2 linked regions of the Drosophila melanogaster genome follow. The protein of the gene in region 1 interacts with the protein of each later gene in a pairwise test. Each region holds a gene or a part of one and is shown on either strand. Other genes may lie near its edges.

Region 1 (4,937 bases):
GTATTTTCTAATATATACAAAACAGCCACCCTGCTATGCAAGTAAACAAGTGAAAATGGAAGATATACAAAGATTTCAAAGGTCTCTAAAAGACTTTGATTATTTCAAAGACTTTCAATGTTTTCTGAATATCAAACACAATTCTCGAGCGCGGGCAACGCATATAAAGAAAAGGAACCCAAGATTTAATCCATTGACCGATCTAAATGAGCATAAATTTCGACTAAAGTACCGATACACTAAGGAAAACCTTCGCAGAATTATTGAAATTGTACGGGATGACTTGGAAATTGAATATTTTGAGCCGTTAAAGAGGGAGCAAGTTCCAATAGATTTGCAGATTCTATCCGCTATTCGCTTGTGGGGCGGCACAGAGGTACAGTAAACATTTCTGTATGCCAGACTCGCGAATTTGTATGTACATCAAAACCGTGTGAACTGGCTTTCAAAATTGCCCGCCAAAAATGAAAACTAAGATTTGTTACTAAATTTTTTTCTTATTTAAGCACCCCAAATTAACTGCAATGGCCCATGGCGTTAGTTTACGCACTTTGGCAAAAATAACTAGGCGCGTGGCATCTGTCCTATCATCGAAAGCTTCCAGGTATATCCGAATGCCGGCTACTCTATCGGAAAAGGAGCGATCTGGTTCGGCGTTTCAAGCAATTGCCAATATGCCGCAAGTCATTGGTGCTTTACTACAGACAACTGTGAGGTTTCAACCGGAAAACTGTGCCCCTGATCTGGATGGAGAGGAGCTTTTGCCCGCCCTTACCAGCCGGGAGGAGGAACTTCACATTCAGATTGTTTGCGATGCGGCTCATAAGATAAGGGACCTTGATATCCGACTGATCGATGAGCAGTCCATGCTCACCGACACCGAGATGTTCGGTCTGTCCAAAATAAAGGATCGATTCGAACAGAACGAGTTCCGGGGTCGTATTTTGCTGGGCAACGAAATGGTGCGCTGCTCCTCCTCCCTGTTCACACCGGTTCGATTCCCGAGGAACCAATCCGAGGAGCTGTATAACCACGCCCACGCGGTCACCTACGCATCGGCTAGAAAGTGTCTCAATCTGCTGATGAGTCGCTTCGGTATCCTTGCCACCGAAATCCAGGGTTCCCATGGATCTGCAAAGCAAACGATTACGGCGTTGGCCATACTCCACAACATGGCCATGGAGTGGGTCGATCCAAGCATTGGTAAGCTAACTAATGCTATAGATCCTAAAGTGCTCATTGTTTATTGGTTTTCATTTATCTTTTTAGATACGGAACAGAACATTTCACCCTTTAATTCCACTTTCTTCAATTCCATAGGAAGGTCACCAAAATCCGGAGATGACAACAATCGAAGACAATTCATTAAAACCCATTTTGCTTGCTAATAAATAAGAGTTCTTGCAAACAGAACCCATTACGAATACAATTTGTAACTTTCAGTATTAAAATTATTAAAAACAAACCTATGATGTCGATTTTCCTTACGTGTTTTTCCGATTCAAAACCAGGCTAAACGGGTAAAGTGAGCGATTAAAACGGTTTCTTCGGGAAGTCCCCTATCGGCCGAACAGCTGGTGCGTGCGCAATCGGTATCTATCGCGAGGTGGCAGTTTGAGGTGCTCACGCTGCCATCTCCAAACTGTGCACATGGATATTCTGTTCTTCAATAAAACAGTAGTTTAGTTTTTTGTTGTCATAGGCTGTGAAAAGTTTTAGTGAACGTTTAAGAATTTCACGCTTAACTGGAAGCTACCAAATAATCCAATATATTTATTAGACAAAATTGTGCATTTGCTATTAGTTATATTGTAGGTATATTGTGCCTCCGCAATCATTATGATTATAAAGGATGTGTGTTCGATTTGCATTTCAGTTTTTGCCTCCATTTTACATACATTTACACCTGGCGCATTTTTCGTGCTGGCAATGTAATCACACCGAGCTAGCTGACGACAAGTGCCAGTGACCTAGATTTTGGGAGTCCTGCGCTTGGGTAGAGTAACGACACCACCACCGCCACCGCAATCCTGCTCCGTGCCCGTTAATCCTTCCAGCTGCAGCAACAAAGTAAAGGTCACAAATCGCGAGGCAAGTAAGTTTTTGTACATATGACCTGGTTTACGGAGTGGCAGCTACGCTTGGTAGCCCAGGGTGATGGCGGGGTTAATCTATATTGTATATTCACCGCCAGAGTGGCATACTATGCATTCTGGCTTCTCTCTATCTATCCACCAGATATGATTAATCCGCATCCGTAAACTTACGTCCAAATCCGATCAGAAATCATTCACAGCATTTAAAACCTGTTTGTAGGCCTTTTTTTGGGTTAGCGGAGTCAGAGATCACATCGAGCTTAGTACGTACCCCTCAACAGATATATGACTGGGTGACCAGGATCTGACATGCGTAACAACAGCGGCTATCATATCCCAGCTAGCAACAGTCTGAACAACAATGGAGCCCCGGCGTCACGTTACTGCAATGCGGACAATACGTTTTGCTACTATAGCTACGATAACTGCAACCTGATCGCTCCAGCGTGGGGCAATCGCCAGAACCAGAATCAAAATTCAGTGCCCAACCAGAACCATAATCTGCCGACAAAGAGAATTCCCACCAAGCAATCGGCCAGATCAAGCTACCACCAATCGGCGGCCAATTCGGCGCCGGACTCATCACTGTTTACCGATGCATTTGGCCAGCAATCGTTGGTCAACCAGCGGATAGCTGGCAACAAGAGCTGCGAGTACGTCTATCAGACGGTACAGCGATCGGAGGATCAGCATTCCAATAGGCAGTACAAGCAGGCAAGGTCATATGCCGTAGACAAGGAGCAACAGCAGCAGATGTTGTTGCAGCCATCCATCGTATACTTTGATGCGGAGCTAAAGAAACGGAAAGACCGAGGGGGACGTGTGTCCAACGATTATGTGGACAATAGTCCGGACCGATATCGGCCACTCAATTCCCCCTCACCAGAGCCGACCTGGGATAACATACTGTAATTTATGCAAATGCCTTTTTGTTAATTGTCCTGCTTGTTGAAACTACATACCTCCAGTACACGCACACACACACGTATTTTGTTGTTGTTGTGTTCGAGTCTTAAAGTTACAATTTGGAAAACTACAGATAGATACCACACAACACTCTAGTTGCGAGTACATTAACAATATATCCACAGACACTCATTGAACATACATAGATGTGTAAACAATAAACAGTTTCCTTTGTTCCCCATGTTGTAAATAACCGCCTTCCATTCTCGTTTTTCAGCTCGGAACGCCCGGTCCAGTATCAGACGACAAACCAGCACTATCAGCACTATTTTTCGTACTTCTACAACCGTGGAGCGGAGAAACTGTCCAAGCCAACGTTTGCCGCTGCCAATAGCCGCAAAGTGCCAATGAGTAAATTTCAAAAGGCCGGCGCCAGTCGCAGGGATTCGCGAGAAGTCGATGGCACAGTTATCATTGGACGAAGGGACAATTCCGAGGACAGGACCTGGCAGGGTCAAAAGTATGAGAAGCACGTGCTAAAGGAAAAGCTCCCAAGCAATGATTTAAAAGCCGATTACCTAGACAATGGCTGGGGAGGAGACCCTGGAAGCGAAGATGACTACAGGGACATTAAAGATAGCTATGACCCCGTTGTTGTAATTGACAATGGGCTGGAGCAGGTCGGAGTACATCGGCGCTACTGCAGAATGACCGAAAATACGGTCCTGGATGGCTCCGGAGACACGCTTATTAATAACAACAATAATGAATTAAAGATTATGCGTAAGTCGACGGATCAGCCCATGCCACGGTTGCCCATGACGCCAAAGAGGGCCAAAGGTGGGACCGTGTCTACCAAAAAGCCAATGCCCACGGTTCACCGAGTCCTGCTGTACAGCACTCAGAGTCCACGGCTCGGCCGCAAGCAGCAGTTCAGCACCCAGCGGCTAAGTGTAAAGCAGCAGAGCTCCAAGGTACTGGGTGCAGGTGATGAAAGACAGACGGTCTTATTGCTGGAGCCGGAACACAAACAGGAAGATCACCGTAGTGCCATTGACTTCGATCGTAATGACGACTTCGACGAAGATGATGATCTCGACAATTGTAAGAATTGTTAACCTTAGATCTATTTTTTTTAATTAATTGATAATTAACTAATTTGTACTTCATTGTTTAACCAAATAATAGTATCAAATTTCGACGAAAGCGACACGGCGAGTGTTTTGTCAGACACTGAGGACGGTTATCGTGCCCATGCCTTCAAGCTTACCCACTCTGTGGATCGATTTTCATCGCCCCAAAGCACGCCCAGCTTCTTGTCTTCGCAGTCGTCTGAGGATGATCTGAAAAATCCGGATTCCCTTCTGGTTCCCAGTTTGTTTCCCTACGTGCCCCCTTATTTGTCTTTTTCGTCGAACACAAAAAGAGGTCCACGCGTGCCGCCGGATCTTCATCGCGTTTTGAAGTGGCGCATTACAAACATAATGCCAAAGGTAGTTCGTCTGATTCTGGCCAACAGCGGAATGCGAATGCTAAAGAGTGAGTTTCTACATAATAATCAGATATCAATTAATATGTATTTTCGCAAGTAGAAACCAACGACTGGATGGGCGTATGGGGAAAGCATTTAAAGTCACCGTGTTTTAAGGCCATTCGTTCGTATCAGAAAATTAATCACTTGCCCGGTTCATTTCGCATCGGCCGAAAGGATTCGTGCTGGAAGAATCTGCAAAGGCAGATGGGTAAGCACAGCAACAAGGAATTCGGGTTCATGCCACGCACATACATTATTCCCAATGATCTGGGAGCGCTGCGCCGGCACTGGCCGAAATATGCCCAGCGAAATACTAAGTGGATTATAAAGCCACCAGCTAGTGCTCGGGGTGCTGGCATCAGGGTTATCAACCGATGGGGCCAGATACCCAAGAGAAGGCC
Region 2 (3,596 bases), 2.2 Mb from region 1:
TTTTTGTGTCACGTCTAACGATAGTTAATGCCCGTAAGAGCGATGAGGGCGTCTATACCTGTCTGGCGGAAAATCCCGGTGGCAAGGATTCGGTTCACATAAGTGTGGTGGTGCAAAAGGATATGGAAAGGATTTCCCTCATCGACAGCAACTTCTTTGCAATAGTCTGCCTTATAGCCATGGGTTTTCTCAGCATGTCGATTCTATTTTCGTTGGTAACATGCCTAATATTTAAGAGATTCAAGCAGTTCCATCCCGGCCAGCACACTTATTTGCAACCCACTAGTTTGCCCGTTCAGTCACCTGGCAGTGAAGAAGCCACCGCCATCAGCGCCCTAAGTTCTGGAGTTATAAGGGAAAGTAAAATAGTGCTGGATCCATTAAGTGCTATCAATGAACCATCAAATAAAAATTACACTTTATTTAAAACATCCAATTCGAATGGCAGCGAGTATATGCACACGAGAAATTATAAAGACGTGAGATTAAACAGCAACACATATACTGAAAATCTAGACAATCAGGCGGAATCCATTTCATCGCGGAATCGGGAGCTCTATTCAAATATAGCTGGTGACCGGGAAAAGGAAGAGCTCAAACAGAAAGGCAATAAAATGCCAAATAAAATTAGTGCTCAAATTTTAACTTATTCTTGTTTTTCTCCTACTTAGATGAGCTCGATAAGGATTCCCGGCAGAGTTCCTTGCAATCAACAGGCTGCTCAAGAAAGAAGGGACAAATCGATGAACTCCAACCGGACCTTTTGCCTTCCACTCAACCTACTGCCTTAAAAAATATTAATGAAACTTTCGGTCCATCAGCGAAAAAAGCAGAAGTTAATCCCCGAAGCAAGTACAATACCAATGTGCAAAAGTACCTAAAGGAGAAGTACGGCAGTGTTAGAATAAAGAATATCAGTACTAAAGAACCCATTACTGGTGTTGATATCTCAATATAATATATTAATGTTTTATAATATGGCATTTCCCACCATACACAGCTGCGAATCCACCGTAAACCCCATGCCATTGAAATTTTAGTCTTTGCCAGGATTTCAATTCATATCCAGCCCTACCTCTCTAAGACCTCCAGGAGATAGATGGACAAAGGAGATCCAGTCAAGAAGAAATATACCTCGCCTTATTTCTGGTAGTAAATTATGTATTTTAAAACGTTACTAATATATAAAAATATTTATTTACACAGTTCTAAGTGTTTTAACCCACGCACTTTAAGTGAAAGGAATGTAATAATAAAGTTTTAAGTGATGCCTTTAAATGAAAAATGTGTAGCTTACTTGAATTAATCTTATATTATCATCGAATTCTAAAAAGCATTTTTAGTAAATCGTTTGATTTTATTTACCTGACCCACTTTTACCGTACTCTACGTTCTATCATCCCTGACCTACCCCGAATTCATTCTTGTGTGTGCTACAATTCCCAACTGCTTCTGGCCGTTTGCTCATGGAGACCCTTTTCGTTTTCCGTTTCAAGTTATCGCTTCTCGGCCTTATGGCTAAGATCAAAGTGTAGTATCTGTTCTTATCAGCTTAACATCTGATAGTTCCTCCATTGGAGGACAACAAATGTTAAACTGATTTTTGGAATCAGACGGAGTGCTAGGGGCTTGCTCCACCTCTGTCGCGGGTTGGCCCGGTATTGCAGTACCGCCGGGATTTCGGCCCAACTGAATAATAAATATTTAACTATTATAAAATCAAAAGGATCTACTTGTCAACACAGTAGACTTTCAAAAGTTGCTAGTATCTGTCTATCTGTCTAGTTTCTTATCAAAATTATGTCGTTTTGGCAAGCCTGATTACCTACCACAATGACTGCGCCATTTACCTCGCGTACCAACCAGGCCGCCGATTCCGGCAAAGATCAATCTCCCATCCATGGATTGAGCCGGAATCGAAAGCGTCAGGAGAGGCGAAAGCAGCGCCTGCAGGAAATGCAAGATTTGCTGTACACGAAACACTTTTCCAACTACAGACTGCCGGCATCGGTGGCCGCGCCAGCTCCCGAGGATCAGCTGCTCCTCAAACTGCAGAACTTCGAATCGCTGACCGAGCAGCCGTCCAGCAGCAGGAAGAGCACTGCGACCACATCTAGCGATTCGCCGTGGAGCCGACTGCGCCTGGTGGCATGCCCATGTCACGGATGCCTATGCTCGGTTGACCCCAGCGCTCTGTTGGGTCACTATTTGAGTGACCATCTGCCGGGAATGGGAGTTCCGTTTTATGAACTGGAAATGGGCAAGCGAGTGTCACTAACATGTCATATTAGTAGCCTGGAAAGAGATGTCAACACCCTGCTGGGGGTCTATGGCTATCGGCGCACTGGCCTTAATCCTCTGAAATGTCACCGAAACACCCATCTGCCAGTGGAGTACCGCCGCTTCTCGCAGCATAGCGCCCTTATGATCTTCGCCTGCCGCACCATGCACTCGGTGCTGTGGGAAAGGAAGCGTGTCAAACACGAAGTCCTGGCCATCTGGGTGGCTACTCCTTTGCACGGCGTGGCCATCACTCTGCGCCTGCTGGTCCAACCTGCCAACCTGCCACGTTACTACACCAGACAGATAAAAGCTCGTCCAATGCTGCCACTGTCGTCGAACCAATCCTGCAGTGAGTTCATCAAGACCGACAGCAACGTGATCCTCATCAGCTTGAATGACCTCCGGCCACTAATGGATTTAGATGTTTGGCAGCAATCGCTAACCGTCGAACTGAAAGTGATTAGCGAGGCAAGTATATAAAACTTCCGGTTTTTTTTTTTTTTGGAATTCGCAATATTTTTGGCCATGTATTTAAGTCTAAGATTAAACAAGGAAACATAAAACTTGAACTCGCACTTACTATATGCATTAATAAATTAGGACAAAGTATCAGAGATTACATTTGATAAAAGCAGCTACTTCCTGATCCAGGCATCCTACTTCCGTTGCTGAATATATATACATACAAGTCGTACAAGGCTTTTCAATTCGGCAACAGTTTGGATAACATGCTATTCGTACAATTTTGTTGTTCCTCACACTTACATCGTACTTTAAAGGGAATTTACAAATTTTGAGCTTACATACATAAAATTTAGATTTTAAATATTCTACGTTAATGTGTTAGAAATATATAATTATGTGTATAACCTTATATCATTAAGGCGCATGTGCAGATATTCTAAAATTGTACTAGAAATCGAGAGAGCGGTGCGCTGAATCCTCAGGCAGCGTCGCTTCGCTTTTTACGCAACAAAAAATTAAAGCGCCATCATCAGGGGACGACATACTAAACAAGACAAACTAAATAAAACAAACTAAAAGAACGCAACTAGAAAATAAAAAACATCCGTCTAGTGTGAGAGGTCGGAATCTGGTTCCGGCTAGCCGGCCTTTTGGGTCTGTTTTTGGCGTTGAAGTGCCTCAAAGGCTTCGATTTCCTTCTTTTCTTTGGCCTGATTGCGACGCTCATATTCCAGTCGGTGCGAGATGATGCGCTCCACGATGCGCTCCGTGGTCATCTCGTTGCCGGAATCGATCAGCTCAAAGATGGCTCGCGTCTTGGGAACGGCATATGGATCGATCTTGCCATT

The links.
Region 2: the proteins of TTLL4A (region 1) and CG15482 interact in a two-hybrid assay, tested with the Drosophila melanogaster proteins (one large-scale study listed by BioGRID).

Annotation. Positions count from the first base shown.
Region 1 is NT_033779.5:10,987,780-10,992,716, forward strand, and holds the start of TTLL4A (tubulin tyrosine ligase-like 4A), read left to right. Parts: upstream 1-1,621; 5' UTR 1,622-1,811; intron 1,812-1,876; 5' UTR 1,877-2,095; intron 2,096-2,194; 5' UTR 2,195-2,405; coding exon 2,406-3,004; intron 3,005-3,279; coding exon 3,280-4,106; intron 4,107-4,190; coding exon 4,191-4,541; intron 4,542-4,594; coding exon 4,595-4,937. Other genes in the region: CG12253 (uncharacterized protein), read left to right, coding at 56-376, 507-1,203, 1,270-1,388.
Region 2 is NT_033779.5:13,210,019-13,213,614, reverse strand, and holds CG15482 (uncharacterized protein), read left to right. Parts: upstream 1-1,800; 5' UTR 1,801-1,833; coding exon 1,834-2,763; 3' UTR 2,764-2,842; downstream 2,843-3,596. Other genes in the region: kek4 (kekkon 4), read left to right, coding at 1-606, 672-958; Pect (phosphoethanolamine cytidylyltransferase), read right to left, coding at 3,387-3,596.